Callithrix jacchus: one gene and its partners. The protein of the gene in region 1 binds, or shares a complex with, the protein of each later gene. Links are inferred from orthologs where the notes say so. Each region holds a gene or a part of one and is shown on either strand. Other genes may lie near its edges.

What was found.
Region 2: ING5 (region 1) and JADE3 share a complex: the UniProt entries of both Homo sapiens proteins name them as parts of the HBO1 complex. The link is inferred for Callithrix jacchus from reciprocal best matches to the Homo sapiens genes ING5 and JADE3.
Region 3: ING5 (region 1) and BRPF3 share a complex: the UniProt entries of both Homo sapiens proteins name them as parts of the MOZ/MORF complex. The link is inferred for Callithrix jacchus from reciprocal best matches to the Homo sapiens genes ING5 and BRPF3.

Annotation. Positions count from the first base shown.
Region 1 is NC_133507.1:162,983,551-162,990,767, reverse strand, and holds the start of ING5 (inhibitor of growth protein 5), read right to left. Parts: upstream 4,319-7,217; 5' UTR 4,185-4,318; coding exon 3,986-4,184; intron 3,862-3,985; coding exon 3,695-3,861; intron 1,600-3,694; coding exon 1,398-1,599; exon of another isoform or gene 1,178-1,397; intron 1,005-1,177; coding exon 911-1,004; intron 1-910. UniProt on the Homo sapiens protein: Component of the HBO1 complex, which specifically mediates acetylation of histone H3 at 'Lys-14' (H3K14ac) and, to a lower extent, acetylation of histone H4. Component of the MOZ/MORF complex which has a histone H3 acetyltransferase activity.
Region 2 is NC_133524.1:47,871,353-47,878,486, reverse strand, and holds the start of JADE3 (protein Jade-3), read right to left. Parts: upstream 4,025-7,134; 5' UTR 3,985-4,024; intron 3,905-3,984; exon of another isoform or gene 3,606-3,904; intron 1-3,605. UniProt on the Homo sapiens protein: Scaffold subunit of some HBO1 complexes, which have a histone H4 acetyltransferase activity.
Region 3 is NC_133505.1:44,504,258-44,511,497, forward strand, and holds the start of BRPF3 (bromodomain and PHD finger-containing protein 3), read left to right. Parts: upstream 1-3,216; 5' UTR 3,217-3,443; intron 3,444-3,856; exon of another isoform or gene 3,857-4,158; intron 4,159-6,761; 5' UTR 6,762-6,787; coding exon 6,788-7,240. UniProt on the Homo sapiens protein: Scaffold subunit of various histone acetyltransferase (HAT) complexes, such as the MOZ/MORF and HBO1 complexes, which have a histone H3 acetyltransferase activity.

The sequences.
Region 1 (7,217 bases):
TGTGGCCCAGAGCAGTACTATGATTGTGGCTCCTGATCCTCCCAGCTCAGCCTCCCCTAGTAGCTGGGACTGCAGCCCACGCCACCACACCCAGCCAGCTTTCTCTATTTTTTGTAGAGATGGGGGTCTCACTTTGTTGCCCAGACTGGTCTCAGATTCCTGGGCTCGAGTGATCCTCTCGCCTTGGCCTCCCAAAGTGCTGGAATTGTAGGCATGAGCCACCATACCCAGAACTGACACTCTTTGGCCACTCCTGTCACAGTCATCTCCGACGAGGTTACGTGGCATTGCAGTGTGTTCTCTTCAGTCTAAAGGCAACTCCTCTGAGCTAATGCCACGATCTCTTTGGAGGGTATACAATACCTCTGGCAGGGAGGATGTCAGCGGGAGAATGCTTTAAATAAAGTCTCTCAAAGAACTTCAGGTTAAATGATACATCTATTTAACAAATGTGGCCACATAATTTAACAATGAATATGCATGAAGGAACTACATACTGATACAGAAAATAACTGACAGATACACAAAAACCTAGCTACTAAAAGAGTGTTTTCGATTGGCCTGTCGTCAGCACGCTCCCCACCCTCCTGTCCCTAGCGGGGCAAGCATACACCATGGCTAAGAGGAGACAGGTGCTGCAGTCAGACTCCGGGTGCAGGCCCGTCCACACCACAGCAGCTCTCAAGCCTCACCAGGTCCCTGTGACACTGAAAATGGCCCTGACGATGGCACTCCCTCCAAGGCTGCTGCGAGGAGGGGCTGACAACAGGCACGCAGCGGTAAGAATCAGAACACCACCCAGCACGCAGTGTGCATTCACTCAGGGGTCAGCGTCCATCAGTGTTTCTACATCAGGGATACAGGATATTGGTATTTGCTCTCTTGGGAAAAAGAGGGGAAGGCCTCTTACCCTCCTTTATGCTTCTTTTTCTTTGGTGTGTCTTCCTCTGATGTCCTCCTGCCTCGGCCCCGGGATGCTCTTTTTTCTTTCTGACCCCGGCCTTCTGAAAAATAAGATGCAAATTACTTTTATAGAATTCGCTAAAGCAAGACACGTTTTGTGTTTTGTTTTTAAGATGGGGTCCAGCTTTGTCTCCCAGGCTGACTGGAATGCAATGGAGCAATCATAGCTCACTACAGCATTGACTGACCTCCCAGGCTAAAGCGATCCACCCACCTCAGCCTCCCGAGTAGCTGGGACCACAGGTGTGCACCACCACACCCGGCTAATTTTTAAACTTTTCGTAGAGATGAGGTCTCGCTATGTTGCCCAGGTTGGTCTTGAACTCCTGGCCTCAAGCAATCCTCCTGTCCCGGCTTCCCAAAGTGCTGGGGTTACAAGCATGAGCCGCTGTGCCCAGCCTGCAAGACAAGGTTTACCCAAATATGATACTTACCATCGCGATCGTAAGTTAGTGACTCGCCACAGTGACAAAACTCCACAACTCCACAGTTAACAGTAATAGAGAAAAAATGAACAGACTTGCTTTTTAGTCCTCGCCCTCCGGAGCCTTCAAAGTCACTGCCCTCCATCTTGTCCTTCAGGTCGGCCTCAAAGCGTGCCAGGTCTGCATCAAGCCTTCGAATGTGTTTATCCACCTACAAAAGGACACGCACAGTCTCATTTTAGAGTAAAAGCAGGACGCCTCGGAAACCGCGAACGTGGAGTATCCACCAGGCTCACAGTTTCCCTGAGTCTTCGATGAACAAGGCCCACTCCTTCAAAGTCCATCCAAGGGTCTTGTGCTCTTTCTGTATATTTTGAAACTGCGATGGAATAAATCCCATTTAAGGAAAAGACGTGAGTGTAGGCAAGAATGAGAAGTGTTATGAAACGTGGTGGAACAAGGGCTGGACATCCAACACTGAATCTTACCTTAAAATACGGTCACCTAGAGGCCAGGCGCAGCGGCTCACACCTGTAATCCCAACGCTGTGGGAGGTGGAGGCAGGCAGATCACCTGAGGTCAGGAGTTCAAGACCAGCTTGACCAACATGATAAAATCCTGTCTCTACTAAAAAAACAAAATTTTGGCCAGGTGTGGTAGCTCACACCTATAGTACCAGCACTCTGGGAGGCCACGGCAGGTGGATCATTTGAGGCTAGGAGTTCGAGACCAGCCTGTCCAACATACTGAAACTCCATCTATTAAAAATTCAAAAACTAGCCTGTTGGTAGTGGTGCATGACTGTAATCCCAGCTACTTGGGATGCTGAGGCAGAAGAATCGCTTCAGCCTGGGAGGAGGAGGTTGCAGTGAGTAAAGATCGTGCCATTGCACTCCAGCCTGGGCAACAAGAGTAAAAAGTACGTCTCAAAATAACAATAATAAATATGGCCACTTGAAGGCTGGGCACAGTGGCTCATGCTTGTAATCCAGCACTTTGAGAGGCTGAGGTGGGCGGATCAGTCAGGAGTTTGAGACCAGCCTGGTCAACAGGGTGAAACCCTGTCTCTTCTAAAAATACAAAAATTAGCTGGGCATGGAACTATATGCCTATAATGCCAGCTACTCGGGAGGCTGAGGCATGAGAATTGCTTGAGCCCAGGATGCAGAGGTTGCACTGAGCAGAGATCATACCACTGCACTCCAGCCTGGCAGAGCAAGACTGTCTCAAAAAAAAATGGTTCCTCTGAGCACATACACAAACAAAAAGGCCCAGAAAAAAAAAAACAACAACACAGGAATGGTCCCACATGAAGTGTATTCCCCAGTCCGTAGTTTCTCCAGCAGCGTCAGTCTACCAAAGCCAGACTTCCACTTGGCTATGCCCATTTCTGGGCAGCTTTTCCACTTTGTTGCAGGAGAGGCAGGAATAGAGGTTGGAGGAAGAGCCGTGGCCCCTGACCGACCCTCACCATCTCGCAGGTCTGCATGGCTCCGGGGCCCCGCCCTCACCATGTCGCAGGTCTGCATGGCCCCGGGGCCCCGCCCTCACCATGTCGCAGGTCTGCATGGCCCCCGGGCCCCGCCCTCACCATGTCGCAGGTCTGCATGGCCCCCGGGCCCCGCCCTCACCATGTCGCAGGTCTGCATGGCCCCCGGGCCCCGCCCTCACCATGTCGCAGGTCTGCATGGCCCCGGGGCCCCGCCCTCACCATGTTGCAGGTCTGCATGGCCCCCGCGCCCCGCCCTCACCATGTCGCAGGTCAGCATGGCCCCCGGGCCCCGCCCTCACCATCTCATAGGTCTGCATGGCCCCGGGCCCCGCCCTCACCACCTCATAGGTCTGCATGGCCCCCGGGCCCCGCCCTCACCACCTCATAGGTCTGCATGGCCCTGGGCCCCGCCCTCACCATCTCATAGGTCTGCATGGCCCCCGGGCCCCGCCCTCACCACCTCATAGGTCTGCATGGCCCCCGGGCCCCGCCCTCACCATCTCATAGGTCTGCATGGCCCCGGGCCCCGCCCTCACCATCTCATAGGTCTGCATGGCCCCCCGGGCCCCGCCCTCACCACCTCATAGGTCTGCATGGCCCCCGGGCCCCGCCCTCACCACCTCATAGGTCTGCATGGCCCCGGGCCCCGCCCTCACCATCTCATAGGTCTGCATGGCCTCCGGGCCCCGCCCTCACCACCTCATAGGTCTGCACGGCCCCCGGGCCCCGCCCTCACCACCTCATAGGTCTGCATGGCCCCGGGCCCCACCCTCACCACCTCATAGGTCTGCATGGCCCTGGGCCCCACCCTCACCATCTCATAGGTCTGCATGGCCAGCTGCACTTTGTCATCGCTGTATTCCTTGCACTTGCTGTAGGCGTTCTGGATCTTCTGCAGGCGCTCTACGCGCTGGTCTGGAGACAACGTCTTCACTGTGGAGATGTACTCTGCAGCCAGGATGTCTATCTCTGCTTTCTTATCTGATGGAGAAATGGGGGAAAAGCTAGGCCTGCACTAGACACCATGATGTGCTCACCAGACCGCCAACAACCAAAGTCAGCCAACACCGAGTTGTGGCAGAGATGCGGGCGGATGTGAACTCACACTGTGCTGGTGGGAGCGCAAGTGGGCAGGACTGTTCTGTGGTCTTGCGTTGTGTGGATGTGCAGACTCTATGGCAGGGCAGCGTGCCCAGGGCAGGCCCAGTTCTGACCATTATGCAGCAAGTGCTCACAGTGCCCTCTCTGACTCTCAAACATCCTGAGTGAGTAATTATGTGGTCACCTTTCCTATGAGCTGGCATATTACTCTTTTGTTTTCTTTTTTTCTGGTAGGGCAGTCAGAAAGAATATACTCCTCTTAACTACCCTAAAGAAATCTTACGTAACCTAAAGAAATACACAGGAGAAGACATTCATGAGAGCAGAAAACAGAAAACAACCCAAATGTCCAATCCTCAGTAAAATGGAGAAATAAGCTGTGGACCCTTCAGACAACGGAGTGCTACCCAGCAACAAAAAGAGCTAACTCCAGGCCAGGCGCGGTGGCTCACGCCTGTAATCCCAGCACTTTGGGAGGCCGAGGCAGGTGGATCACAAGGTCAAGAGATCAAGACCATCCTGGTCAACAAGGTGAAACCCCGTCTCTACTAAAAATACAAAAAATTAGCTGGGCATGGTGGTGCGTGCCTATAGTCCCAGCTACTCGGGAGGCTGAGGTAGGAGAATTGCTTGAACCCAGGAGGTGGAGGTTGAGGTGAGCCGAGATCGCACCATTGCACTCCAGCCTGGGTAACAAGAGCGAAACTCCATCTCAAAAAAAACACAAAAACAAAAAGGGCTAACTCTAGCTACCCAGAGCAACACGGAACACCCCCCCCAGATGACACGGGGCAAAAACAGCAAGAAACAGAGGAAAATAGACTGCACGATTCCATTAATGCTAAGGGCAGAAACAGACACAACTCTTGGCTCTTCAGTTTAGAGAGGTAAGAAAGGCCGGGCGCAGGGGCTCATGCCTGTAATCCCAGCACTTTGGGAGGCCAAGGCGAGTGGATCACCTGAGGTCAGGAGTTCAAGACCACGCTGGTCAGTATGGTGAAACCCCGTCTTTATATATTAAAAAATTAATTATTTTTAATTTTAAAAAATTATTAAATAGAGAGGTAAGAAAACTACTGAAGGTGGAAGGTGACTGTGACCAAACTCTGATGCCCTTGGTTGGGGATGGGTGTCATGACTAGGAGGGTCACGAAGGCCGTCCGGTGCTAAAGGGCTTGATTTCTCCATCTCGGCAGCAGAAAACAGAGCGGTTCATCTGGTAATATTTGTTAAGGAATCTATAAACGTTGCACACTTATTTCTTATATGTTACGTTTCACAATAAAATAATTCTCTATATTCCCTAGTCAAGATGCTGTACCTAAGTCAAAAACATGTGCCCAGCATAATGAATAAAACAATGTTAGGCCAGGCACAGTGGTTCACACCTATAATCCCAGCACTTTGGCAGGCCAAGGCAGGGGGATCACCTGAGGTCAGGAGTTGAAGACCAAGCTGGCCAACATGGTGAAACTCTGTCGCTACTGAAAAATACAAAAATTAGGCCGAGTGCGGTGGCTCATGCCTGTAATCCCAGCACTTTGGGAGGCCAGTGCAGGTGGATCACAAGGTTAGGAGTTCAAGACCAGCCTGACCAAGAGGGTGAAACCCTGTCTCTACTAATAATACGAAAATCAGTTGGGTGTGGTTGCACGCACCTGAAATTCCAGCTACTCAGGAGGTTGAGGCAGAGAAATCGCTTGAACCTGGGAGGCCGAGGCTGCAGTGAGCTGAGATCCTGCCACTGCACTCTAGAATGGGCAACTGAGCGAGACTTTGTCTCAAAAAAAAAGAAACAAACAAAAAAAAGACCTTCCCATGCCTGCTGGGATTAAAAAAAAAAGGAGACATTTAAGATTCAGCGAAGAGGGTCCCACATTGAAGAGGGGTGAAAGGAGATCCCAAGAAAACCCAGGCTAACAACTGTGCAGGTCTAGAAACAATCAGGACCATGGCCTCCAAGACACAGGGCTCCAAGGAAAGAAAGCACGCACAGAGCTGCCGGGTAGACAGCCTGACAGGCCACACGGAAGAGCAGGCGGGGAGCTGCCGGGTAGACAGCCTGACAGGCCACACGGAAGAGCAGGCGGGGAGCTGCCGGGTAGACAGCCTGACAGGCCACACGGAAGAGCAGGCGGGGAGCTGCCGGGTAGACAGCCCGACAGACCGTACGGAAGAGCACGCATGGAGCTGCCGGGTAGACAGCCCGACAGGCCACACGGAAGAGCAGGCGGGGAGCTGCCGGGTAGACAGCCCGACAGGCCACACGGAAGAGCAGGCGGGGAGCTGCCGGGTAGACAGCCCAACAGGCCACACGGAAGAGCAGGCGGGGAGCTGCCGGGTAGACAGCCCGACAGACCGTACGGAAGAGCAGGCGGGGAGCTGCCGGTAGACAGCCCAACAGACCGTACGGAAAAGCAGGCGGGGAGCTGCCGGGTAGACAGCCCGACAGACCGTACGGAAGAGCAGGTGGGGAGCTGCCGGTAGACAGCCCGACAGACCGTACGGAAGAGCAGGCGGGGAGCTGCCGGTAGACAGCCCAACAGGCCACACGGAAGAGCAGGCGGGGAGCTGCCGGGTAGACAGCCCGACAGGCCACACGGAAGAGCAGGCGGGGAGCTGCCGGGTAGACAGCCCGACAGACCGTACGGAAGAGCAGGCGGGGAGCTGCCGGTAGACAGCCCAACAGGCCACACGGAAGAGCAGGCGGGGAGCTGCCGGTAGACAGCCTGACAGGCCACACGGAAGAGCAGGCGGGGAGCTGCCGGTAGACAGCCCAACAGGCCACACGGAAGAGCAGGCGGGGAGCTGCCGGTAGACAGCCTGACAGGCCACACGGAAGAGCAGGCGGGGAGCTGCCGGGTAGACAGCCTGACAGGCCACACGGAAGAGCAGGCGGGGAGCTGCCGGTAGACAGCCTGACAGGCCACACGGAAGAGCAGGCGGGGAGCTGTCGGGTAGACAGCCTGACAGGCCACACGGAAGAGCAGGCGGGGAGCTGCCGGGTAGACAGCCCGACAGGCCACACGGAAGAGCAGGCGGGGAGCTGCCGGTAGACAGCCCGACAGACCGTACGGAAGAGCAGGCGGGGAGCTGCCGGGTAGACAGCCCGACAGGCCACACGGAAGAGCAGGCGGGGAGCTGCCGGGTAGACAGCCCGACAGACCGTACGGAAGAGCAGGCGGGGAGCTGCCGGGTAGACAGCCCGACAGGCCACACGGAAGAGCAGGCGGGGA
Region 2 (7,134 bases), on another chromosome or scaffold:
CTGTTCTGGACAGAATGCCCTTGATAAGTAGCAATCTCTCAGTGATTACTAACAAATGGTTTGAAAGAAAGAACAAATAATACATCTCAGTGATTACTAACAAATGGTTTGGAAAAAGAAAAAGAACAAGTGATAAAGCAAATGAGAGCAAACTCTTAACAATTGGGAATATAGTGAGTTCTTTGTACTATTCTTGCAACATTTCATAATTATCAAAATAAATTTTTAAAATCTAGAAAAGAATGTGTCTCAGAAGATTCCAACACACAAAGTCTAGTGTATTGGCCATGCTGGTATCATATTTTCTTGTCAGCTGTCTCAAAAAAAAAGCACATTCTAGGCTCGGGTTTCCTTGACCATCAGCCAATGCCAAGGGAAAAGTAGCTCCTTGGGTAGCAAGGCACAGCCATGGTTCCTGGGTTGTGGCAAAGATTAAATTACTTGCTGCTTGTAAAGTACTGATGAGCTCATAGGTGTCAAAGCCCCCGTACTATTTCCCCACACCAGGACCTTTACTTTCCTCAGTCGGCTGCCTTCTAAGTTCTTACCTTCCTTTTCCCAAGCCTCGCTATGAAATCAGGCAAGTTTTTCCTGGGACCTTTTTTTTTTCTTACTTTCTCCCAAGAAAAGCACAGAGGCAGTTCTGATGGTAAGAGCTTTCTGCTATTGTCTATGGAAGAAGGCAAAAATAACCATGGGGGAGTCACAAAGATTCCAGAAAACAGAAAACTCAAAGTGGTAGTTATTTGGTCTGTAATGACCACTTACTTTCTAGTACCCGTTTATTCTTTCATCACTTCTACCCATTCATCCTAGATCCTCCCCACCACACAAACCAGAATGCTTCAGCTTTCCCAGCCACTGTAACTGGAACAACAGAAACCTGTGAGCCATTTAAGTGTCCCCATGTTAGGAGAGTGCCAGATGGGTGTCACCCAACACTCCTCACCTATATTGTGGAGCAAGTCAAGATCATAGTAAATTATACCTCAATGAGAGATTTTCTTAATGTGAGACAGCATATTACCTCTATCTTCTCGGCTCCTTTTGTGTAAGCTGCATGAGGAGGTTGGTGCATTATGTCCCATGATAATGTTCAACTTCATTTTTGGACTGTCTCTGTCTCTGATCAAGGTTTGTAAGAGCCCTCCATAATGCCATGTCTTTACTAACACCTGATGCCTCCTACCTCCCCCACCTCCTCCAAAACACTTGCCTAGTTCCAGCCAGACCTCAAAGTTGTGGGCAGAAAGAAGATGCTTTGTGTAGGTTAGGAAAAAAAAAATAGTTGCTATAGTTGGTGGAATACAAGAGAGGGAAAAGACAAGCATTATTAAAGGAGAGGACCATATTAAACCTACAATTCAACACCCTTTCTTCTTTAACTTTCACCAACCCACACTTCTCAGCTATGATGCCAGCCCTGCACCATCACCTGTCTTGCTCCTGGGAATCTCTCTTATGGTCCTAAAGGTGGGTCACAAACACTTCAGGGAGGAGTGGAAAGCCTTTTTCTACTTTTTTCTTCCTGTAACCAGATTCACATCGCATTGCCGAGGGCAAGCAATATGACTCAGAGAAGAGGGGAGAGAGAAAGTGTGAATTCTAGAGCCAGACTTGTACCCCTGAGTATTCCAGAATTGACTGAACAGAAAATGCAAGGCAACAATACTGGGTTAAAAGCTATTCTCTAGCAAACAAAAGCGTAAAGAAGAGCACAACTGCAGAAAAGGTGGCAATGATGGTGGGTTAACATCGATTGAGAGTTGAATACATGCTGGGCACTGAAACACTTCTCAGAGATCTCAGGTAATCCTTGAAGAGAGGGTATTATCCTTTTACAGTTTAAGTATTTAAGCTCAGAGCTCACTTTAAATGAAAGAGAAAATGATGTTATGAAGGTAGAATACTCCTAGGTTAAACGAAAAAGAAGAAAAAATCTATTTTCACTTATCCGAACAGTAATCACATGATGCTACAAAAGCATGAGAACCACATCACTCAAAGGGTGCAGAGGCCGGGATCCACATTCCCATTGTCTACAGATGTTTTGGAAGTATTAAACTAAGTAAAAGCACAATGCTTTGTTCAGACCGACTCCTCTCCTCTCTCAGCCCCACTCTTACCGGCTCCCAGCCTAGACTGACAAGAAGTGGCTGCAGGGAAAGTATTAAAGAGGCGAACCGGTCTGGGAAAGTGGATTCTGGGTTGCTTAAACTAAGCAAAGATGTTGTGCAACCAGTTTTTACCTAAATTACTTTTCATTACTTCCTAAGTTTAGAGAGCAGCAGTTCACTTTATCAGACCGAACACAGGGAATGAGGTCGCCTTTCCCTCCAGGCTACCACTGGAATCACCTTCCACACGGTTTTGACTTCTTACACAATCAGACGGCGGGAGGGAGCAATCTCATCCTCATAGATAAACGCATCTCACGGAGCGCACACGCACACACACACACAAACAACTCGCGCACATCTGAGGCCACGGATTTCCTTGCAACTCAAAGTCGGAGAAGCGGCCAAACAAGTTTCTTGCCAAATCCCCTAGTAGCTACATATGTCCCAGGGCTGCACAGCGATAAAAACTTTGAAACATGCCTCCAACATACCACCATTGTGGCCACTCACTCGAGATCCCGCCACTCCCTCCCCACAAATAATAAACTCAGGCTGCCCTGTGCAATTTAAAGCCAGACTCCACCGAACCACTGGCTCTGCTCTGAAAAGCGGGAGAAAAGACTGAAGGCTATCAAAAAAAAAAAAAAAAAAAAAAAAAAATCTACGGCCCCCGGGGAGGAGGGAATAAAACGAACTCGAAAGCTGGAGAAAAGTTAACTTTGCCGTGCCCAACGGTGGGAAAATTTCCCGAAAAACTAGCAAACCCTCACGATTTTCCCACCCCGGGACCGCCGGGCGCTCGGCGGCCACGGACCTGCAGTTCGAACAATGACGCCAGCGGGAGGGAAAGTTCGCCGGCCCGCGGGGCGCCCGCGCTCCCGCTCCCGCCGGGTGAGCACCCCGGGCTTCCCGGGTTACCTCGCCGCTCCCAGCACCGCTCGTCCTCCCCTCTCCAGGCACTCGGTTCTTTCCGCCCCCCAACATCTGAAACAGCCAGGGCGCGCCCTCGCTCCCTAGAGCATCCGACCCCTGGCGGCAGACAGAGCAGGTCCTCCCGCCTCGGGTCTGGCCCCGTCAGCCCCGGACCCAGGCAAAGGGCAGGGACAGAGGAGGGGGCGCCAGGAGGGGGCACCGGAGGAAAGAGCCGCAACAGTTATGGCGCTCAATTCCTGCCCGGTGTAGCCGGGAGCTGCAGCCGAGCTCGCGCGTCCGCCCCCGCCCCCCGCCACCAGGCACTGCCCGGGCCGGCAGAGGGGCCACTAGGCACTTTACCTCAGCCCACACACGCTCTCGGCCCCAAGGCGCCGGGGACGCCGGAGGCGACCACGATGTGGAACCAGAGCGACCCGAAGCGCGGCGAGGCCGGGCCGGGACTGTGCGCTCCGCGCCGCCCGCTTCCACTCCCGGAGGCCGCCGCTCCCGCCGCCCACCCGGCGCGACGCCCCCACCCTCGCCCGCGCCGCGTCCGGCCTCCGCGGCGCCTACCTTAGTGCAGCTGGCTCGCGGCTCCTGCACGGCTCCACGCCGCGGCCCGGCAATGTGCCGGGCGAGTCCAGTCAGAGTGGTAACCGCCCCCCTAACCGCTCGCTTTCTTCTCTTCCCTCCCTCGCACCTGCCCCTTAATCCCCTCCTCGCCCCCGCCCCCCGCCGGGGCCGCCCCCCACGCCTCAGCTCCCGCCCTCGGCCCTGGTCCGCCCGGCCCGTCAGGCCTCAGCGCTGGGCAGGCGGTTGGGCGGCGGCGGCGGCTGAGGCGGCGCGGAGCACTATTGTATTCCTGACACTGTGCGCTCCCACGCTCCGCCTCTTCCCTTTCCTTCCTCCCCCAACCTCTCCTCCCACCCACCGCCGGCCGCGCTCGCCCTACCGGAGCGGCTCCCAGCCGTCTGCCCGCCGCGCGTTCTTCTGGCGGGCTGAGCGCCGTCGCCACCCGCCGCCTCGACGCCCCGCCCACTCGCAGCTCCCGCACCCGCGGAGCAGGGTTCCAGGTGGGCTCCCCTCCGGTCCAGCTGGGCGCGCCACTGCCGAGACGCCCCAGCCCCGCCGAGCGCTAGAGAGGACGAGGTGCAGTTGCCTCGGCTGTGCTGAAATACAGACTAAGCTTTTCATGGCCCCTTCCAACTCTGAAGTTCCAAAGTGGGACTCTCATACATCAACTCGCGGCCGCTATTGATTTATGTCGCTTGTGCTTGAATTACCTGTAATAATAAAGCCAAGGTCGCTATTAACAGAATTCGTTTATTCAGTTGCCAGCACAGGTGGTTTGTGATGTTGTGTGGCTTTTTCCATGTGTCCACTGGTTAGGCTATAGCCCACAGTTATTCAATTGAATGCCAATCTAGGTGTTCTAGAGGTATTTTGCTGATGTAATTAAAGCTCCTAATCAGTTGACTTAAAGTTAGGGAGATAATCCTGGATAATCTACGTGGGCCTGACGGAATCAGTTGGAAAGCCTTTCAATCAGGACTGAGGGTGCTGAGTAGGTCAGAGAAAAAGAATTTCGCCTGTGGATGGATGACACCTTTGGCCGGTGTCCATTGGTTCCAGCCTGCTCCTGATCTTCCCTTCCTGACTGCCTGCCCTACAGATTTTAGATTTACTTAGCCACCACTACAATCGTCTAAGACAATAGCTTTGAAGGAATGAATGAACAGAGAATGTATATATGTGTGTGTGTGTATACATATATATATATATTTCCACCACGCATTCTTCTGGCAGGCTGGGCGCCGTGTGTGTGTGTGTGTGTGTGTGTGTGTGTGTGTGTGTGTGTGTTTATGATTTTCTACTGGTTCTGACCCTTTGGTTGAATCCTAATATGGATGCTTAAGCAACAAACCTTTTTGGTTTACCTCTCTGCGTTTGGAAACGTACTATATGCAGCTATGATGAACTCATAGTCATTCTCTTTCTTTCTTTTTTTTTTTTCGAGTCAGTCTCCTTCTGTTGCCAGGTCTGAATGCAGTGGCTCGATCTCGGCTCACTGCAACCTCTTAGCTCCCTGCAACCTCCGCATCCCGGGCTCAAGTGATTCTCCCAACTCAGCCTCCCAAGTAGCTGGGACTACAGGCGCATGCCACTATGGCCCGGCTTATTTATTTATTTATGGTAGAGAGGGTTTCACTATGTTGCTCAGGCTGGTCTTGAACTTTTAAGCTCAAGCTATCTGCCTACATGGGCCTCCCAAAATGCTGGGATTACAGGCGTGAGCTACCGTGCTGGCCTATTTTCATTTACATTTCTATGGTGAACGATAATGTAGGCTCTTCTGTATTTTGTCTGTTTTCCATATTAAAGACGTAGTTATATTCCGTAATATAGAAATGTGTGAGTTCTAAAATATTCATAGTCCTTCAGACTTACCTCATTGTAAAATAATTACGGATTCGCCAGAAGTTGTAAAAAAAAAATTTACAGAGTGGTTCCATGTACCCCTTCATCCAGTTTTCCCCAATGGTAATAGATAACTATAATACAATATCAAAACCAAGATATTGACACTAATACAATCCACAGACCTTATCCAAATTTCATCAGTTTTACATGCACTGATTTCTGAGTCTGTGTATATAGTTCTGTGCAATTTTAACACATTTAAATTTGTGTAATCACCACAATCAACTTTTTCTCTATCACAAAGATTCCTCCTGCTACATTTTGTCGTCACAGTCACCGCTTCTCCTACTATAATTTCTGGCAACCCCTAACGTTCTCTATCTCTATAATTTTGTGATTTCAAGAATATTACATAAATGGAATCATACCTTTTGAAATCAGCTTTTCTTCACTCAGCATAATTTTCTTGAGATGTGTTCATTTGTTGCATGTCTCAATAATTCATTGCTTTTTATTACTGAGTAGTATTCTATAGTATGGATGTACCACAGTTTGTTTATTAATGCATTGAAAGTCATTTGAGTTGTTTCCAATGTTTGCCTATTAAGAATAGAACTGCTATGAGCATTAATGTAGAAGTTTTTGGGTAAACCTAAGTTTTCATTTCTCTGTGACAAGTGCCCAGGAGTGCAATTGCTGGGTCAGATGATAAGTGTATATTTAGTGTTATAAGACAATGCCAAACTTTTCTAGACTATAGCATTTTATATTACCACCAGTAATGTATGAGAGATCTAGTTTCCCCACATCTTTGTCAGCATTTGGTATTATCACTATCTTTTTCTTTTAGCCATTCTAATAGATGTGTAGTGATATATCTCATTGTTGTTATAAATTGCATTTCCTTAATGGCTAATGATGTTGAGCATCTTTTCATGTGCTTATTTGCCATCTGTATAACCTCTTTGGTGAAATGTCCATTCAAGTATTTCGCCCATTTTCTAATTGGATTGTTTCCTTCTGTTAAATTTTGAGAATTCTGTATACTATATTCTAGAAATAATTCCCCTGCCAGATGTGATCTGCAAATATTTTTCCCTGTCTGTAGCTGGTCTTTTCATCTTCTTAAGAGATTTTTCAGACCAAATTTTAAATTTTGATGATGTCCAATTTATCAATTTTTGCATGTATGTATCATGTTTTTTGTTTCATGTCTAAGAAATCTTCATCTAGCTCTGGATCCTGAAGATATTTTCTTACCTTTCCTTCTATAAGTGTTATAGTTTTATATTTTACATTTAAGTCCATGATTCACTTACTTTTTATATAGGCTCTGAACCTAAGGTTGAGGTTCATATTTTTGCCAATGGTTGTCTGGTGGCTCAAATGAAAGGACTATTTTTCCTCCATGAATTGCTTTTTCACCTTTTTAAAAATCGGTTGGGCATATTTGTGTGGGGCTATTTCTGGGTTCCCTATTCTGTTCTATTGATCTATGTGCCTATACCTCTGTGAATACCAGTCTTGGTTACTATAGCTATGTAATAAGGCTTAAAATTGGGTAGAACACTTCCTCCTACTTTATCGTTCTTTTTTAGAATTGTTTTAGCCATTCGAGGTTATTTGCCTTTCCATATGAATTTTGGAATGAGATACAGAATGAGTATTCTGTATCTACAAA
Region 3 (7,240 bases), on another chromosome or scaffold:
TCTAGAATAATTGCCTTATTATTACCTGTATATTGTCCCTTTGCCTGGGCTGCCCTGCCCAACTCAATGTCATTTTATACTCTTTTCACCAATTCATATCCATCAAGATTTAGAATTTGGCTTAAAGAAGTCTCCCATTTTCCAAGAAGCCTTCTTTGAATAATGGTGACTCCATACTCTTCACTGCTTTATCTATTTTTTTCTGTATGTGTTTTCTACTTATTTCTACCATTCTGGATTGCACACTACTTAGGGCAAGAAAAAATATGTTCTATCTATACATATGATCATCAGTCCTTTTCTAAGTTGAGATTGTCATTATTTTCCAAAGAAACTTACACAGTATTAGACACACTCTAAGTGGTCAATGAATATGTTTTAGAAATACATAAATGGAATTAAATCTAAAGCGTTTGGTATCTTATTCTATTTAAGACTTGTTTTTAACCTAGCTAAACTTTTCCCATTTTCTAAGCAAACTTTATATTCTTAAACCATTTTAATTAGTGTAAAAGTATCACAATGATTCCAGCCTCAAACATTCCTCCTAACTGTGGTTTCAGAATTCTTTTAGTCAAGTATCTAAGGAAGGAATATTCTATTAAAAATAATTTTACAATCAGTCAAGGCCTATTTTTTTTCTCATCATCCACATGTCATTAATCCAGTGGGTATTGCATCTGACCCTTGAGAATTTTCTTGGCCTGAAAAACTAATGACAATAGTGCAGCATTAACAAAGACATCCTGAAATGCCAGGAAAAAAGTGTGAGGGGGAAGTATGAAAGAAAGAGATGGGGAAATGATGATTTTTTTTATTCATGTTTGTTAGTTTTAAATAGTAAAGCCTTCTCCTATCCCAAATAAGTTGGTTTCTACTTACAGCTGGACGATTTTTAAAAACAACTATTTGAAATCAAAGGTCCATGCCCCCGTTTGTTGAATTTAATTGATGTATGGTTTATTGGAAAGGCCAGGGGCTGGTGAATTTAAACCATTTAAAATAGCAAAAGATTAAAGTGAATCAAATTTAGTGCTTCTGGGATTTTTGATATATGTTCCAAATTTGTTTTTAATAACATAATTGCTCCATGTTACATTTAAGATTACATCACAGGGAACTGGTTATGCGTGCAGTTATGCTCATAGAAACCAATTCCAAATGTCAAAAGTAAGAGTGAGGACAACTGTAATGTTATCATTAAAAAAGTAGAAGTTGGAAATGGAAGAGAAATACTTAGGTTGAATAAGTTCTTAATATGAAAGCTTTGAACAGAAAAACCTGAAAAAAATAACACGCACTAGGTTGACTTAATGCCTTTTCAACAGCATTTAAGTCATTATTTTGCTTTCAAGTAGAAACCAGTGCATTTTCTCAAGGTATTTTATTCATTCATTTTAGTGGAAAAAGACAGTTCCTGATTACACAAATGGGAATTGTGCTAAATAAATTTTGAGAACATCCATCAAGAAATAAAAGTTACTAGTCATATGTACAAATGGTTATTACATTTCATCTTTTCTAAAAGAACAAGAAATTCGGTATAGTTTCTTTTAGTTTTCAGACTTTTTTTTTTTTCTTAACTAAAAGTACTGTAATTGTAATATTCTCTTGCCTCTGGGGCTTTCCTTTCCACAATTAATCATCTTTTCTTCCACACCTTCCCTCCAAATGATTATTCCCCTTAGTTTCAGAACACTTGACGTTAATTCGTACTATTTTCACAGCTTTCAAAACATTGCCCTGCCCTTGCTTAGTTCCACGAGCCACCCCCCCTGCTTTTAAAAAATTGGTTAACAGAAGCATTTTTGTACTATCTCTTTGCCAGAAGATGCTACCATTTACTTGGGAACAACTTTGAGATACTAATTAGCTTCCTTACTCAAACTTTTGAATTTGAAACTCTCTATATTTAAATTCCTTAGGCTAACAAACATCTATACTTCAAAAGTAGCAGTATGTTCACTTTAAACATTCAGAAAACTTGGATCCTAAGACTTTATCCTTCATCCTCCTGACTCTAGAATACATGTCCTTGATCATCAGAATCAAGCAAGAAATTGAGTCTCACCAGCTTCAACACAAGTGTTGGCAAAGGAAACACTTTCAAATTGTCATTCATATGCACATTTACAGGTAGCTTACCCATACATCCTTTATAAACATCATTACGCATTGGTGCTTAAGACTTCAGTCATATGAGGTAAGCTTTCCAGTTTATAGGCAAAAGGGGGTGGCAATGGAGCCCTTTTTTTTTTTTTTTTTTAAATCAAAACAAAATCCAGTTTGGTCTGATGCTGCCATTTGTCAAGCATCTTTTAGAAAGCCGCCTAGTGCATTAAATTAACCAGCTCCTAACCAAATCAGGTTTAAAGTGTTTCCCATGCCCACAGTGACAGACGAGTTACCATACTTAAGTAGACTGTCAAAACTTTTACGTTTACTCTTTTAAAACGGGAAAGTCAGTTTTTGTTTTTTTTTTTTTTTAAGGATGTGTGGTGAGGAACAAGACGCTCACCTGTACATAACAAAGGCAGGTCTTTCCCGGTTGTCCTCACTGGGGGAGGGGCTGGACAATCCCAAGACCTTTGTCCTCAGGTATTAGGCATTGGGGGTTGGGGGAGACGCGACTTTCTGGGAGTCGTGTAGGCACCGGCACCCAAGAAACTACAGACCGCCTTTGACCTCAGTGACTGCCCTGGCTTTGGAGGGGCCCTTTAGTTTGGGGAGGGGGCTTGCTGCCCCAAACCATAGCCACATCACCCATAAGGACTGGGGAGGTAATGACTGACCACTCAAGAGTCAGGGACCCCTGTCTCTCCCAACTAGACCCGAACGTCCCCAGCCCTCTCGTCGGGCTCGCCCCGTGGCGGGCAGGGCCATGGTGCGCTGGGATCTCGGCGGGCGCAGATCCAGTCTCTGCTCGGCGCCCCCGCCGCGCCCGCACCGCCACCGTGAGGCCGAGCCGGGGACGGTGCCCCGTGGCGGCGGCGGCGCCTCCACTCTCCTCTCCGCACCGCCCCGGCCGCCGCCGCGCCGGGAACGAGTGGGGGGCTTTTTTTCCCGTTTCCCCCTCTTTCGCGCTCTCGCTCCTGTTCTGCGGGAGAGCCCGCAGAGTCAGGGAGGGAACGAGGGAAGGGGTGGAGGTGGCGGGGGGAGGCCGGAGGGGCGGATCCTGCCTGGGGGCTGATCCCTCCCTCCCCTCGGCCGGGCTCCGTGGCGGCAGCGGCAGCAGCGGCGGCTCCATTCCCCCTCCTCCCCCGGGAGCGGCGGCGGCGGCCGGGCAGGGGCCCTAGCGCGGGCCGGGAAGGGGCACGGCGGAGGCCGCGGAGGCAGGCGCGGGAGGAGACCGCGCTCCGCTTCCCGGGCCACGCCAACCTGCTCGGCGGCCAGCCCGCCCGCGCCCAGGGGCCCCGAACGGTGGGGCCGGGCCGGCGGCTGAGGTAATGGGGGCGGCAGCGGGGCCGGACAGAGCGGGGGCGGGGGCAGCGGGGCCTATGGGGACCAGGGACTGCACGGGGGGAAACCGGAGAAGCGGGGGGCTTTCCGAGCAGGGCGGGGGCGGTGCGAAAGCTCTCTCCTGGAGCGAGGGCGGCGGCAGGGAAGGAGAAGGCGGGTGAGCGGGGGAGCTGAAAAGCGAGGACCCCCTCCCGCAGTCGCCATCTTGTCTCCCCCCAAGCCCTGGAAGCCAAGCTGCCAAGCCCCGCCCCCGCCACGCCTTCCAATTGGCCTGGCCAGAGGAGAGTTCCGCCCCTTGAGCGTCCCTTAGTCCCCCGGGTCCCCCTGACGGGCAGGTGGGGCGGCCAATGGGCTCTCGCCTCTCTGTCCAGCTCACTCGCTGGCGCTCGCTTTCTCTGTCTGAGGGTCGGACTCCGCGTCAGACTGTCTCTGGTGCGCTCGCCCCCTCCCCTCTGAGATGTTATTTCCCTCCTTTCTTCTCCGAGGGGTCAAGATTCTTCTGGAAGAGGTGCCCCCTTAAAGGGGCAGGAGCCTTGGCTGGGGACGTCCCTTGTCTCCTATCTTGTGTAGGGAGCAGGGGATACAGTCTCATTGCAGAAGCTCTTCATTCTTCGGGGACCTGGGTGGGTGAGCCAGCGGGGGTTCAGGGGGTGCCGAGAGGAAATCTTGGGGGCGGAGGATGTTGGAGATATTTTGGAGGTGTGTATGTGGGAACGGCTTTGTAGGTTGAGAAACTCCCGCCAAAAAACTCGTCTAGACTGTAAGCTCCTTGTGGGCGAAACTCATTTCATTTCCCTCAGCAGCAGCCCTTCCCGCTGTAGAGTTTCTCCCCGGTGTCTGGAGGCGTGGGTGGGACAAAACACGTCTGTGTGGAGACTTGCGTGGTCGAGAGATGCCTGAGCAGCCGAGGAGGTGGCAGGTGGGGAGGGAGAAGCTGGAGCGGCTTTCAGGAAAGGGGGCGCCGCACCGCCTGTCTGCTGTTTGGGGTCGGTGTGGAGGCAGATGTTCTCACCTCCTAGGGCCTCCGTGCCTTTGGAGGGGTGGGTGATGAAGCAGGTCTGTTAGCCCTGTCTGCCCCCAGGGACTTGGCATTTGTAAGGAATCCAGTGGCCAAGGGCCTCTGGAACCCGGACAGAATTGCTGCAATGATTCTGTTTCCTTTGGCTCCAAGTGGGGTGTGTGCCATCCCGCCTGGCACTGCTCCTCAGCCAAATTGTTTTTTTGTTTGTTTCAGTCACACTTTGGGATTGGAAGCCCTTTCAAATAAGGATGTTAATAATACCTTATTAACAAGTAGCACCTTGAGAGCTAGATTGTATTACTATCATTTTACTGATGGAGTGGGGAGGCATAGAGAACTTAGGGGACTTTCTCCAGGTCACAGAGGGCCAAGATTAGAACCTAGGTTGCCCCAGAGCCTCCTTTTGTACTAGACCACAGCACCTCTGTGGTGTTTTTAATTCCCACTGAGATGAATTGAGCATTAGAAGATCTGGGTTCAAAGTGTAGCTTTATCACTTACTAGCATTAGGTTAAGTCACATCTTTCTGAGCTTCTAGGTAGATGATAGTAGCTATACCATCTCCTAAGGTAGCTGTGAGAAATATTAAAAGTAAGTGTGCTTTGTAATTTGGAAAAAGTGCTTTTATTATCACAGTCTCTACTTTATAAATGAATTGTTTTCTCTTTGAAATCTTCTCCCTGTTCATATCTTTCCAAGTCTGCCCACACCATGGGGCCCTGTATCCCCAAAGGTCTCTTCTGGTGGTGACAACCTTGATGACTACCTATAGTTCCTCCTGAGCTTGTTGTAGTTCCCTTCATCCAGAGAATGGTGTGGGAAACTAGGGCTTTCTCTTGGCTGTACAAGGATAGACTAGATATAAGTATTCTGGGAGAGACTTTTGAGGTAACAATGCATTGAGAGTTTACCTCAGATACTGCCCAGATCATACTGACTTTGGGTCGAATGAAGGTCCCAGACAGGCCCCTACAACTTCAGAGATCTCTTGGAGCCACTTCAGAGCTTCTAGGGTTTGTTTCTGCCTGGAAATGTGCTAGCTGATATATCTTGGATCCTGGGTCCCCGACCCCCAAGGCCATGGACTGGTACCGGTCAGTGGCCTGTTAGGAACCAGGCCGCACAGCAGAAGGTGAATGGTGGGTGAGTGAGCATACCAGAGCTCTACCTTCTGTCAGATAAGTGGCTGCATTGGATTCTTAAAGGAGTGTGAACTCTGTTGTGAACTGTGCATGTGAGGGATCTAGGTTGCATGCTCCTTATGAGAATCTGACTAATGCCTGATGATCTGAGGTGGAACAGTTTAAACAACCACCCACCCTCAGATGTGGAAAAATTGTCTTCCATGAAACCAGTCCCTGGTGCTAAAAAGGTTGGGGACCACTGTCCTGGATGCTGCTTTTTGTAGGGAATACCCTGCATACTATAGTTTGAAGCCCTTCGTCTGTGTATGATAGGCATTTCAGATGCCCTTACCCCTTCACCTCTAGGCAGGATCGAGGAGTAGGGTTTCTGATCATGGTAAGATGTATTGGGAGAAGACACTAGACTTGTGAAGTTTTGATCCTCTGATGGGGCCCATTGTTCATGTACAGAGCTTGACAGTGGATGCTGTTCTTGTTTTCTTCTTTTCTAAGCCCTTAACTACTCATGCCTTTTCCATAGTTAGCTGTCGCACAGCTTTATGTACATCATTAGAGCATTAGATTGTTCCCTATGTTAAGTTGTAATAATCTGTTTACTTTTCTGTTGCTTCAGTTAGTCAGGGCTCCTTGAGGGCAGGGATCATATGTATTTGATTTTTCCTTTCATTCAACTAATACTTATTGAGTGGTTATTTAAGAGCTAAGCACTGCTCCAGGAACTGAGGATACAGCAGTGAACAAGGCAAACAAAAATCTTCCTCATGGAGCTTACATTCTAGTGGAAAGAAGGAAACAAAAAAACATAGTAGTAGATAAATTATGTAGCATGGTATAAGATGGTGAGTGTTAAAGGGAAAAATATAGCAGAATGAAAGGTAGATTGCTGGTGGAGGAAAAGGATTTGCAATTTTAGATAAAGTAGTCAGAGAAGGTCTCACTGAGAAGTGTTGTTCACTTGAAGAAATGAAAGACTCAGAGGAGGTGAAGGAGCAGGCCATGTGGATGCCTGAGAGACAGGTTCTTCAGGCAGAGGGGACAGCCAGTCCTCTTGGTGGATCCCTTATCATATGAGAGGATGAATGGGCGCATAAGGGCATGAACATCCAACTCATAGTCTCCTGGCTTTCTCTCCTTAGGCCTGTCCCCTCAGTTCCCAGGTGCCATGAGGAAGCCTCGTCGGAAGTCCCGGCAGAATGCCGAGGGCCAGCGTTCCCCATCCCCCTACAGTCTCAAGTGCTCACCCACCCGGGAAACCCTGACATATGCCCAGGCCCAGCGGATTGTTGAGGTAGACATTGACGGACGCCTGCATCGTATCAGCATCTATGATCCACTCAAAATCATCACTGAGGATGAGCTAACTGCCCAGGATATCACTGAATGCAATAGTAACAAGGAAAACAGTGAACAGCCTCAGTTCCCTGGCAAGTCCAAGAAACCCTCATCCAAGGGCAAAAAGAAGGAATCCTGCTCCAAGCATGCATCTGGTACTTCCTTCCACCTCCCACAGCCCAGCTTCCGTATGGTGGACTCAGGCATCCAGCCAGAAGCACCCCCGCTGCCTGCTGCCTACTACCGGTACATTGACAAGCCACCTGAAGACCTGGATGCAGAG